Oryctolagus cuniculus: one gene and its partners. The protein of the gene in region 2 interacts with the protein of the main gene of each other region in a biochemical or structural test. Links are inferred from orthologs where the notes say so. Each region holds a gene or a part of one and is shown on either strand. Other genes may lie near its edges.

Region 1 (3,500 bases), on a different chromosome or scaffold from region 2:
ACACTGATAAACCAGACATTTCCCTATCAGGAAGACGAAAACAAGGGAGGCAAGTGTAGCACATCAAGTCAGGTATTAATAAGATTTTGGACAGAATCTTACTGCTGAAAAAAACCTGACTGCCTTTAATAGTCGACCACACACTGCGGTGAAGCACTGCACGCTCTTTGTCTGTTCTGTCCATCACCAACTCTGCACTGCAGATCCTTCATGGTGGGGAGCGCTCACTGCAGCACTACTCCTGCTGATGCTACTGCCTTACCTCGACGAAGACCACTCCTTCTTCTCTGTCAATCTGTATGTGGTGGAGTTGCCCATCAGCCATGCTTTTAAAGTCAAAATGAATGACATCAGGTTCTTGATATCTATTTAACTTGTACCTGATCTGTAAACTTCCTAAGGTAGAAGAAAAAGAGAATTAATGTTTGCAAAAAAAATGTATTTTAAGAACTACTTACAAAAGTTCAGAATCCTTTTGTCATTATGTATTCATTTACAGAAAAAATTGCAATATTTCATTTGGATGTACCCTGTAATGATCATTCATAGAAGTCAGTTTCTCAGTGGAATTTTGCAGAATTTTCAAAATCAAGATCAAGAACACTGTTAATAAATAATCTTGTTTCTACAAACCTTTGACTTTCTTCCCCAAAGGCCAACTCTGACATTAAACATGTGAAAATCTCAGCACTAGCCTTTAATTTATAAAAAGAAAAATAAGAATATGTATTTCTAAAATACCTCACTGTTGTGGAATACTGCAATTACAATCGGTTTCTATAATCTTTTCTTCTTTTTTTTAAATCTGCTTTCTCATAAATGACTCCTTCTCATTGTCCTTCAAAAAAATATTTATTTATTTAATTTGAAAGGCAGTTCCAGAGAGAGAGAGGGTGAAACAGGGACAGACAGCGGTCTTCTTCTGTTGTTACACTCCCCAAAATGGCTGCAACAGCCATAGCTGGGCCAGACCAAAGCCAGGAACCAGGAGCTTCCTCCGGGTCTCTTTTGGGGGTTCAGGAGCCCAAGCATTTGGGGCATCTTATACTGCTTTCCCAGGTATATTCTCAGGGAGCTGGATCAGAAGTGGAGCAGCCAGGACTCAAACCAGTATCCATATGGGATATTAGAGCAGTAGGAAGCACATTAAGCCTCTATGCCACAGCGCTGGCCCCTATAATCTTATCTTTTCAAATTACATCTCACAGTCTTTAAATACCATTGACTAATGTAATTATTACAAACAAATATATAGTTTTACCAAAGATGAAACCTATTTCCAAGTGGCCATGATCATAAACTTGCAATAAAGTTAAGGTGAAATGAATGGGTTTAAGCAAAATGTATAATTTTTAAAAATTTTCATTAATATAAAGAGGATAGATTCTCATGTATTTCATAGGTACAGTTCTAAGAAGATAACCAAATTACCCTCCTCGTCCTCCCTCCCTCAATCCCCCTCCTTCCTTTTCTTTCTTTAATCACCACTAACCATAAAATTCAACAAGTAAAATGTACGAAGACCACAGTTCCCCAGGAGTATAAACAGGGACCAAAAATAACAATCATATTGCAAAATGTCTGTTTCATTCCTATATATTTTTTGTAATCACTGAATTGATTGAAGAAATGTCAAGAAATTTTTTTCATGGATCCCTCCTCCAATTGACAAAGAAAACGTCCTAATTTATAGATAACTTTTGAGCCCAAAATGTACAGTGAAAGTAAGCATACTTGCGTAACAGTATTATTTTTATTTTGGTGGTCAGTGTCCTAAACCCATATATGATATATCTGAAAAGACATATTCATGGGTCTCTATATTTGCTTGTTTTCTCCCCTAGAGAATATATTTGTAAAATCTTTATCTTTAATCCAAATATATGGAAGATAATAATAGCAGGTAGGGGTTTTATGCAACAAGATTTCTATAGCATACACATTTCCTAATCCATTATCATTTTCTCGGGTGGATACACCAATATTTCCCATGATTATTATATTGCCTCTATTTAGAACCAACTGAGCCAGCGCTGTGGCCCAATAGGCTAATCCTCCGCCTTGTGGCACCAGCACACTGGGTTCTAGTCCCGGTCGGGGCTCCGGATTCTGTCCCGGTTGCCCCTCTTCCAGGCCAGCTCTCTGCTGTGGCCAGGGAGTGCAGTGGAGGATGGCCCAAGTGCTTGGGCCCTGCACCCCATGGGAGACCAGGAGAAGCACCTGGCTCCTGGCTCCTGCCTTCGGATCAGCTCGGTGCGCCGGCCGCAGCGCGCTGGCCGCGGCAGCCATTGGAGGGTGAAGCAACGGCAAAGGAAGACCTTTCTCTCTGTCTCTCTCTCTCACTGTCCACTCTGCCTGTCAAAAAAAAAAAAAAAAAGGAACCAACTGGTCATCTTGTGGACATTTTCTCACAAACTTGTTGGTTTGTGAACATACTCTTCATACTTCTTTACTTTGATTTGAAGGAACTATTTGTTATGTACAACCAGACATATTTTTTAAAAACCACAAAACTAGTACTGATATCCACAGGGGATAGTAAGTGGCTTCTGACAATAATGTATAATAAATATTTATATGAATAAATTAAAAATTCACAAAGCACATATAAAATTATCAAAATGAGAAAGATAAAGGCATCATCCCTATTTGAAATAATCCTTTGAGTCTAAGCTTTAGGGACAGCACTGTAAAAGCATAATGAATAGAAAAACAGATACACTGTTTTTTCTGCTTATAGTTTGAGAAGCAAAAACACAAAAATGATCCACATATTATAGTCTGAGTGTCCAAATTCAATTTTTTCTCTCTTATCCAAGAAGCACTCACCATTTTTGGCAATGATGACTGAAAGGTATTCTCTGTAAAAGGAGCTCATGTACAGCAGCAGGCTTGGCGCGCGTGTTGTTCGGAAGCTGAACTTGATCGTTTCTCTGCTCAGCTTCATATCACCATGAAATGATGCAGCGTGGGAGCTGGAGTTTTTACTTAAGGAATAATTTTCTTGAAAATTGTAAATCACGGATGAGCCAGCCCCAAAATATGCAGAAATCTCTGAAATGACATTCACATTTTATGTTAAAATATTAAGTACAAGGATCTTGTTTTAGCTATACTAGTGAAATTAAATTTCTTAAAAATAACAAATCACGTAGATGGAAGAAGCGGCCTCACACTTGACTCCAATAACACAGTAAATTAAGAGGGTTTTCATACTGGCCATGAAATGACTTTATGTTTGGGTGACATAGAATTAACTCACTAGTTTAACTTTGCAATCAAAAGCTTAAGACTCTTCCCAGAGCACAAACATAAGCCAGGCTTCTGGTCATTTACATCCTTGACCATCTACTTTCTTGTTTAAATTTTAATTCCAATCATTTATTTTGCAGTTAGTATATTCTAGTCTCACTGCAATAATTACAAAAGAAGCAAGTTTGACTTTTCTCTCTTAGGATTAATAACAAAAAAAATTTTTTTCTAAACACTTTCTCACAGTT
Region 2 (4,074 bases):
TTCTGAGAAATAAAAGAACACTTTTAAGTGCTCCAATAAATGAGAAAGAAAAGCATTAATGTTACTTTAAGTGAAGGGAAGGCATCCACACAAAACGAATGACTTGCTGCGGGCCAGGGCAGAAGAGACGACTGTTTACTGGACTGAATTACAGGGCTTGAGCTGCAGCATGAACCTTGCCAGCCCAATCTTCAGAAGGGCCAGGCACTGCGTTTTAGAAATTACCACATTTACATTAGAAAGGAAATCATTAATTCCTGAGTCATCAACTGTGCTGTTGTATAATTCTTCTTTCTCTGAACAGTTCATTTACCTTGGGTAATTCTTAATATTCGTAAACTTTCTCGTAAGACATTTACATCCTGGTTTTACTTGCAAATATAAAGATGATGGCTTTTTTTCCCCCAAAATCAAAACCTCTTAGAATGCCTTTTTGATTCCATTAGCACTTTTGTTAGAAAGATTTGGCAGAACTAATAAGAGAAAAAAGAACTAGGATTCAAAATTCATCTTTATAAATCTACCCTTAAATCTTGGATAAGATCCAACAACCTCACATTAAAATTTTAGAAGCTTGAGTTGAAGGACATGGGAAAATTTACTTTACATTGACAGCTTCAAGAGCTCCTGGTCTATACATCATCATTAATTAAGAGAAGACAAATGGGGAGGGACAAAAGCATCCACGGATCGCCTTCATTTTGCTCTTTCCAAGGTAACAACCATATCGTGTAATCTTTGCCAAGAAAGCAAAGCAAAATTTTAGAAAGAGAAAAAAGAAAAGAAACATTTGGTGTCAACACGTTATGTATTTAGTTCTACAGCCATGACTGCTATAGGCTTTTCAAAGAGGACTGGGGCTGCCAGTTTGGGTTCTGACAGCAATGCAGCAGAATTTAAGGTGCTGTGACTAAAATATGTCCTAGGCAGGTTAATCTAGTCATGCAACATTTCAACAACGAAGAATCAAGGTATTCAGTGTAAAGGTGCATTCACTCCTATGAACATTGCAGGAGAAATACGGCCACCGGAGAGCCAAACTGCAGCAGACCCACACATGGATATGCCATCTCCCTTCCTCTCTCTCCCTCTCTCCATTCAGCCCTACACAACCCTATCTTTATCACCCAGCTACAGTCTCTGCAGGCGTCTCTGCATCCTGGTTCCCGCTGGATGAGTTATTCCCAGCCTGACATTGACCAAATGCCATGGGGGTGGGGGGACCCTATCCAGTAGCAAAGCAGGGACTTCACCAACCAGGGAACTCATCACCGTGGGTCTTGGGATATTTCGGTACCCAAGGGACACACAGGGCACCACCTAGCCATTGTAAGAGCCTGGAGAGTGGCTGTCTCCAGCAGAAGAAATAAAGTGTCCCATTTCCTCCAGTAAACGCCCTGGTTGGGTGATGCTGGCCAAAAGGGCACCAAACACTTCTCAGCAGGATCTTGCTCTTCTTTTTAAAGACTCTTCTCCCATCTCTCTCCCTGTGCACACCTCCAGAGTTCCTTCTAAGGGAGCCAACACAAAGGCCGCTCATCCTTCAGCCACAAGCTTTTCAGGGCTTGGCCACGCGAGGGAGAAGATCTGGTTGATTGGCAAAGTTGCGGCGAAGGGGAGAGCAACCATTAAAGACCGCCCCCTCCCCCCTTTCAGGTCAGACAGGAGATAAACGACAGAAACGGCGGAGACAGTCCAAGACCCTTGCAGTCGAGGGGCTGAGGAGAACAGTGTCACAGGCGGGCAGCTCGCTTCCAACCTGGGCACACCAGCAAGCCCTGAACGTGCAACCACGATCACCATTCTCCCGGGCGTGCGCCCCAACGCGACATGCCAACTTCCACATCCCCAAGTCATGGGGCCAGAGAAAGGGGAAGTGAGAACCCCTGCCCGCGGCCATCCGCACGCAGGACTCAGAGTTGCAGGGTCGAAACAGCAAACACTGCCCCCACAGTCTGGGCCGGTGGCCCCAAGTCCTGGCACTAGCAGACCTGTGGGTTTAGGGTGCAGCTCCGGGAGCGAGAAGACAACCACACGCTTCCACGGGATTGTACAAACCTGCGCCTACCCCTCTGCCTCCCTCCGCACTTCACATCCCAAGTGCATCCTGCCGGCCCCACTGCTTCCATAGGCACGCTCCTGCTCCCGGAGAGTCGCAGGAGAGGAGGGATCCTAGCGGGGATTCCTGGAAATGTCATCCCCCAACCCCTTGGGTCCGCCACCCCCATCCCCTCTGCTGAACCTTTCACTCACATTCACACACACACACACACACTCCTGTCGCGACTGTCACCAGGCCCGCGCGCTGACCCCGAAGCCCCGGGGTCTCGGCGCGCGCCGGACACCCGGCGTCTCCCCACTACGCCCCCTTCCCCCGCCTCGCTGGAGCTCGCCGGCTCCAGGCACTGCCCCCTGGACGTCGCCCGCCGTCCCCTCTCAACGGCACTATTGTTCCATGCAGCTCCTCCTGCCCCTTCGGCGGGCACCGGGGCTAGGTCTGGGCGGCATCCGCGCCGGGCACCCCCACTCCGCCACCCCTCCCCGGCCGTGGTACCTTGCCTGACAGCTGGGTCCGCGGGCCCGCGGGAGCAGGCGGCGCTAATGACAGCGTCGGTGCCAAGCCTGGGAATAAAGCTCCGCTCCAGCCGCTCCTACCTCGAGCGCCACCATCTTCTCCCGCTGCCGCGCCGCCGTCGCCGCGACCACAGCCGCCCTCGCCCAGCTCCGGCTCGGGCTCCGCAGCTGCCGCTCGGGCCCCTCCGGTCCCGCGGCCCCACCCCCTGCTCCCCTCCCGCCCGCCCGCCCGCCAGCTCGTTCGCTCGCTCTCTCGCTCGCCCCTCGTGACGCGCAGCGGGGCCGGGCCGCTCCGGCCTGTTGAGGGAGCGCGCCCGCGCGCGCGCTCGCCGCGTGCTAGTAGCGCCCCTGCCTCCCACGCCCACCCGCGTGCGCGCGCCGCGCGAGCCCGAGGCGGGCGGCTGGCTGCTGCACCCCGGCCACAGCCGCGCGGGTGAGCATGCCGGGTGTCCGCGCCCTCTTGCTGCCCGTCGCGCCCAAGGCGCTCTCGGGCGAGCCCCGCCAGCCCTCACTCGGGCTCCAGGCCGAGGGCAGGGAGGGAGACGTGCGGCTGCGTCCCTGAGGGGCCTGCCAGGGACTTCCACGCCCCTCCGCGGCAGCCTCAGGGGGTCCCCGGTTTGCTGACCAGCGGCTGTGGCCAACCTCTGCGCGTAGGAAGTGGCCAGGCCGCGTGTGCTCGCTCACTCGCTCGCTCGTTACTCCAAGCTTCCCGCTCCCCCGGCCCCCGAAACGCGGGTGCGGCTGTCTCCGGACGCGCTGCGCCCTGGCGCTGCCGCCGCAAGAGGGCGACGCGCGTTGGCTGGCGCCTGAGCCACGCCGGCCGGCTGGCGGCCCCGGAGGCGAACTGCCCGGTCCGACCAAGGAGAGCAGAAAGCCAGCCTCTGGGTTAAGGATGCCGGGAGACGTCCGGTTTTCCCGCTCGCGTGTCAGTTCTGGGTGCTCGGAACTTGCAGTGTCTCTGAGCCTGACAGAGGCCACCCGCCCCAGCTCGGGAAGGAGGGGACTGTTTTCAGGGGACCGGGTGGCAGGTGCTGTGCGTTAATGAGAAGCTATGGGCTGATGGACAGGCAGGTCCCGGGGGGTGGGGTGCGGTGGGGGTGGGCTTGCACTCTGGCGCCAGCCTCCCCTGTAATTGGCTTTGTCGGGGTCCAGTTGTGCCCCCTCTCCAGGACACACATTTCCCAGTGATGATGAAGCCCCATGATCCACACAGCCCTCTTCATACACAAGCTCGGATTCTCGTCTAGTATGACGATGAACCTTGGTTATCCAGACACGGTGGAAAACGGAGCTTTTACCACACCGTGTTTCCATATTATTTAAGCACCATTCCTGCAGAGATATCAGCGGGGCAGGGCACACAGCATGAAGCCTTCTGGAAATCCTTTCAATTTAAAATTCGTATCAATTTGCTTTGTACCTCACAGCGAACCTCTGCCGGGGATGGGGAGTGGCCTTAATAAACAAGAGCTCTTCCCTCCCCCACAGAAGGCCTTTTAG
Region 3 (3,500 bases), on a different chromosome or scaffold from region 2:
GAATGAGAACACTAATTCCAGTTTGCTTGTCCTAATAGTCAGAATTTGAACATTGTCCTTAAGAAGTGAAAAGCTATTTGGTGTTTATATCTCTTATCATCCTTCCACTTCTGTAGTCCTGGTTAACCAGCTGCTATGTTAAAATACCACTATGTTTGGGGACAGACATTGCAGTAAAATACCAACAGAACGTTCTGACAATGTCAAATTTTGCCCCTGTGTGTAGCAACGAGGCTAAGTTCTGCCTTGCACTCACTGATAGCTGTATCAGAAGGCAGAACCTATCTTACTGTGTTTATGTGTGTAGATGAGCAGAGCAAGAATTTAAAGTGTATATTTACTGTTAACCCGGAAAAAGAATCCATTGAATTTGTAAATTTTGCTGTGGTTGAAGTAGAACCACGATCGTGCATCATTCTGGTCTCCTGCAAATGCCACCTGAGATGAACGTGAACATTTCCATATGCACAAAAGGAGGGAAAGAGAGGAAAGAAGGAAGGAAGGAGGGCAGCATAGGAGGCAGCAAGGGAGGGAGGGAGGGAGGGAGGGAGGGAGGGAGAGAAGGAAAGAAAAAAATAAACATTTTAGTCATCAAAGAATCAAAATAAGTTAGTTTCCATCTATTACAAACAGTAAATATAGAACTCTAAATTTCACTATTGCACGCATGATCGTAAAGCACAGGGTTGCAAAGCTATATATAAAAACACTTTTCGTCAGACTGCAGTATTTACATTAGTTAGGACCGACAGAAAAAGTAAAGGAGAGACTTTTCCTACCCGGAGAGCTTTACCGCAGGAAAAGACTGTGCTGCACTGTCTCACACACTACTGATCCTTTCACTGACCACATTGCAGGGCTCTACTGGGAGCTCCAAATTCTCAACATGCATCTCTATACCGGGCTCGTTGTCATCGGCTTTCCGCATCACCGGCTCGTTGGTGTGCCGGTAAATGTTAACGTTCAGCTCCCTCCCAGACAAAGCAGTGGCGGCAACTCGTGGCATTTGTCTAACAGGTGGCTTTTTGTCTCCCTTATAATTGCAGCGCAAATAGTTGGAGAAAGCCCTTCGGTAAATTTTGTTGAAGAGAGTGTACACCAGAGGATTAATTCCGGAACAAACATAGCCGATCCAAACAAACACATTCAGAAGCTTTTCCATGAGCTTCTGGTTACAGGCCTTCCCACAGAGAACTGACAGAATATTAGTAATGAAAAACGGGCACCACATGATCAGAAACACAAAGAAAACAATGCCAAGGACTTTGGAAGCTTTCCTTTCGTTGTTGATAGCCTGCATGGTGCCCCTGGGACGTCTCTTCTTCTTCCGGCGGGCATTCTGCTCCTGGTTCGCGTTCTCTTCATCAGCAGCACTTGTCTTGCAGCACTTGAGGAAATTCAGGTTTATTCCGGGTGGTTCCTCGGTGTGGCCGTGCAGTAACATCAGAGCTTGTCGGCGAAGAACGTGGATCGTCAGGCAATACGTGATCACCATGATCGTCAGCGGGATGAAGAAAGCTACGAAGGACCCAATGAGGACGAAATTTGGGTCGTTGAGCACGCACGTTGTGTTGTTCACGAACACTTTGTCTTCATCTCTCAGTCCGATCACAGGGATAGGAACTGAAACACCTACAGAAATCAAACAGAAGGCAGGACCTCGTTAAGCCTACTGCAGCACTGAGCACATTGTATCATGGCATAATCCATTTGTGTTTCACTGGCAGAAGTATAGACCCGATTTTTGTTGAATGCTGCTCATGGCGTAAGTGATGGTCACATGAAACAGTCATAGTAAGATACTAGAAAATGATTCTCCTTTCATGGTAGCCATGCCTTCTCACTAAATTTCTGTGGAAGGCATGAGCTTAACAACACTGAGAGAAACTATTAGAGATATGATTGTTGGCTAAGAGTAGATTGTGTTCCTCTTGTTGTATTTACAGTTCCTTGAATTGTACTGGCTCACAGAAGGCACTCAATAACTAGGCACTTTGAAAGTTCATGGAAAACACATGTTATGAAAAAACTATGCATGAATTTCAATGTTGTTTTCTCAAAATGCTAATATTGTAATTCCATTTTTCCCATAAAATTTTGAAGTGCTCCTCTATTTGCTGAATCAATGAATAAATTCAGATCTGTATTTTTTTCCTTATCATCTTTAAACTTAATAGCCTTTTCAAGGTTGGCTGAGCTATGTCTGACCACCATGCAGAAACAGTCTATAAGCAGATAGGGACAGGAATCTCATTTTAGTGAGTTTTTATTGTTTGTGTTTAGTCCTGGGCCTAAGTAATGTTGTTTCAAGGTCAATAGACATAGTGAAACGCAGAGTGCCATTCCTGTGGGGGGTTCCGTGCATTTTGGTTTTAAAGACTACTGTGACATAGTATTCTGAGAGAGAGGTTTATAGGCAGAAGACATCATCAAGGAGTTGGGAGTGGAAGGTACCCTTGTGCAAGAGCTTAAGTAAGAAACCTCTTGGAAACTTTTAGAAATAACTCTGGTGGATCTTGGAGAGGTCCTGCCTTCATGTGTAGAGGTTCCTTATAAGTGGTATTTGAATGTTTGTATAATTTCTCTCTCTTTTGCCCACAGCAGATTGAAGCCCAAGAAAATCCAGACTGTCCTTGTGAGAGTATATCAGAGATTATTAGAAATCCTGGACTGGTAGGTATGAGGTTTGGGAAGAGACAGAAGTGGACCCACTGGGACGGGTGCTGACTTTAGGGGACACAAAAGGAACTGTGAAGAAACCCAAATTCAAAGTCCTGACAGGTTGTTTGAACCCCTAGGCAGGTGTATAGAGTGTTTGGCTGGATACTCAAAAGGGGAAAAACAGTGTTTCTTTGCTAGAGTTTGCCGAGGCTGTTGACTGATGCTCAATCTCTGGCAAGACACAAGACAGTATTTCTAAGCCTTCTTCCTCAGATGCTAAAGTTCCAAAATATTGGCCTTTTTCTATAGAAAGAGCCCAAACGATAGTGTGAGAAGTAGAAAAAAACGGGACAAGACTTAGGTATCAGTCCACAACCACCTAAATACTCTGAACCTAGGCATGACATTCAAGGAAGGAAGGCTGAAAAAAACCAGGAGGCCCTGAGAACACAGGTCTTTGGTCATACACAGCAGGAGCAGGATCCTCGCAGGGAGACCGTTAGCCCTGAGTGGGAAGAGTGCCAAGTATCTGCAGGGGGAGGGAGAAGGTAACATTCCACCAAATTTGATGAAATACTTGAGAGAAGTTAAGCACATATTTGGAAATAAAGACAGCGGCAAAACTACGCAGGTCATATTTCTTGAGTTATAAAAATGCAAGTAAGAAAGCTACCAGTTTATATTGTTAGAACCTTTACTCAGAAAGTCATAAATATAAGATAATCTCTAGAAAAAGTGCAGACAAAGCTTGGCCGAAACCAAGTCAGTATTGGTTTGCCCTTTATGAGATATTTTAGTGAAGGCTTAGCTGCAGAGCGAGTTGTCTGATGTTAAGGAAA

What was found. The genes of interacting proteins can lie anywhere in the genome.
Region 1: the proteins of APBA1 (region 2) and CNTNAP4 form a complex in vitro, tested with the Homo sapiens proteins (2 studies listed by BioGRID and IntAct, with this or other methods). The link is inferred for Oryctolagus cuniculus from reciprocal best matches to the Homo sapiens genes APBA1 and CNTNAP4.
Region 3: the proteins of APBA1 (region 2) and HTR2C form a complex in vitro, tested with the Homo sapiens proteins (2 studies listed by BioGRID and IntAct, with this or other methods). The link is inferred for Oryctolagus cuniculus from reciprocal best matches to the Homo sapiens genes APBA1 and HTR2C.

The regions. Positions count from the first base shown.
Region 1 is NC_091449.1:58,907,417-58,910,916, reverse strand, and holds part of CNTNAP4 (contactin-associated protein-like 4), read right to left. Parts: intron 3,055-3,500; coding exon 2,830-3,054; intron 397-2,829; coding exon 263-396; intron 1-262. UniProt on the Homo sapiens protein: Presynaptic protein involved in both dopaminergic synaptic transmission and GABAergic system, thereby participating in the structural maturation of inhibitory interneuron synapses.
Region 2 is NC_091432.1:160,800,870-160,804,943, reverse strand, and holds the start of APBA1 (amyloid-beta A4 precursor protein-binding family A member 1), read right to left. Parts: upstream 2,801-4,074; 5' UTR 2,656-2,800; exon of another isoform or gene 2,555-2,655; intron 1-2,554. UniProt on the Homo sapiens protein: Putative function in synaptic vesicle exocytosis by binding to Munc18-1, an essential component of the synaptic vesicle exocytotic machinery. May modulate processing of the amyloid-beta precursor protein (APP) and hence formation of APP-beta.
Region 3 is NC_091453.1:78,560,506-78,564,005, forward strand, and holds part of HTR2C (5-hydroxytryptamine receptor 2C), read right to left. Parts: intron 1,633-3,500; coding exon 821-1,632; 3' UTR 1-820. UniProt on the Homo sapiens protein: G-protein coupled receptor for 5-hydroxytryptamine (serotonin).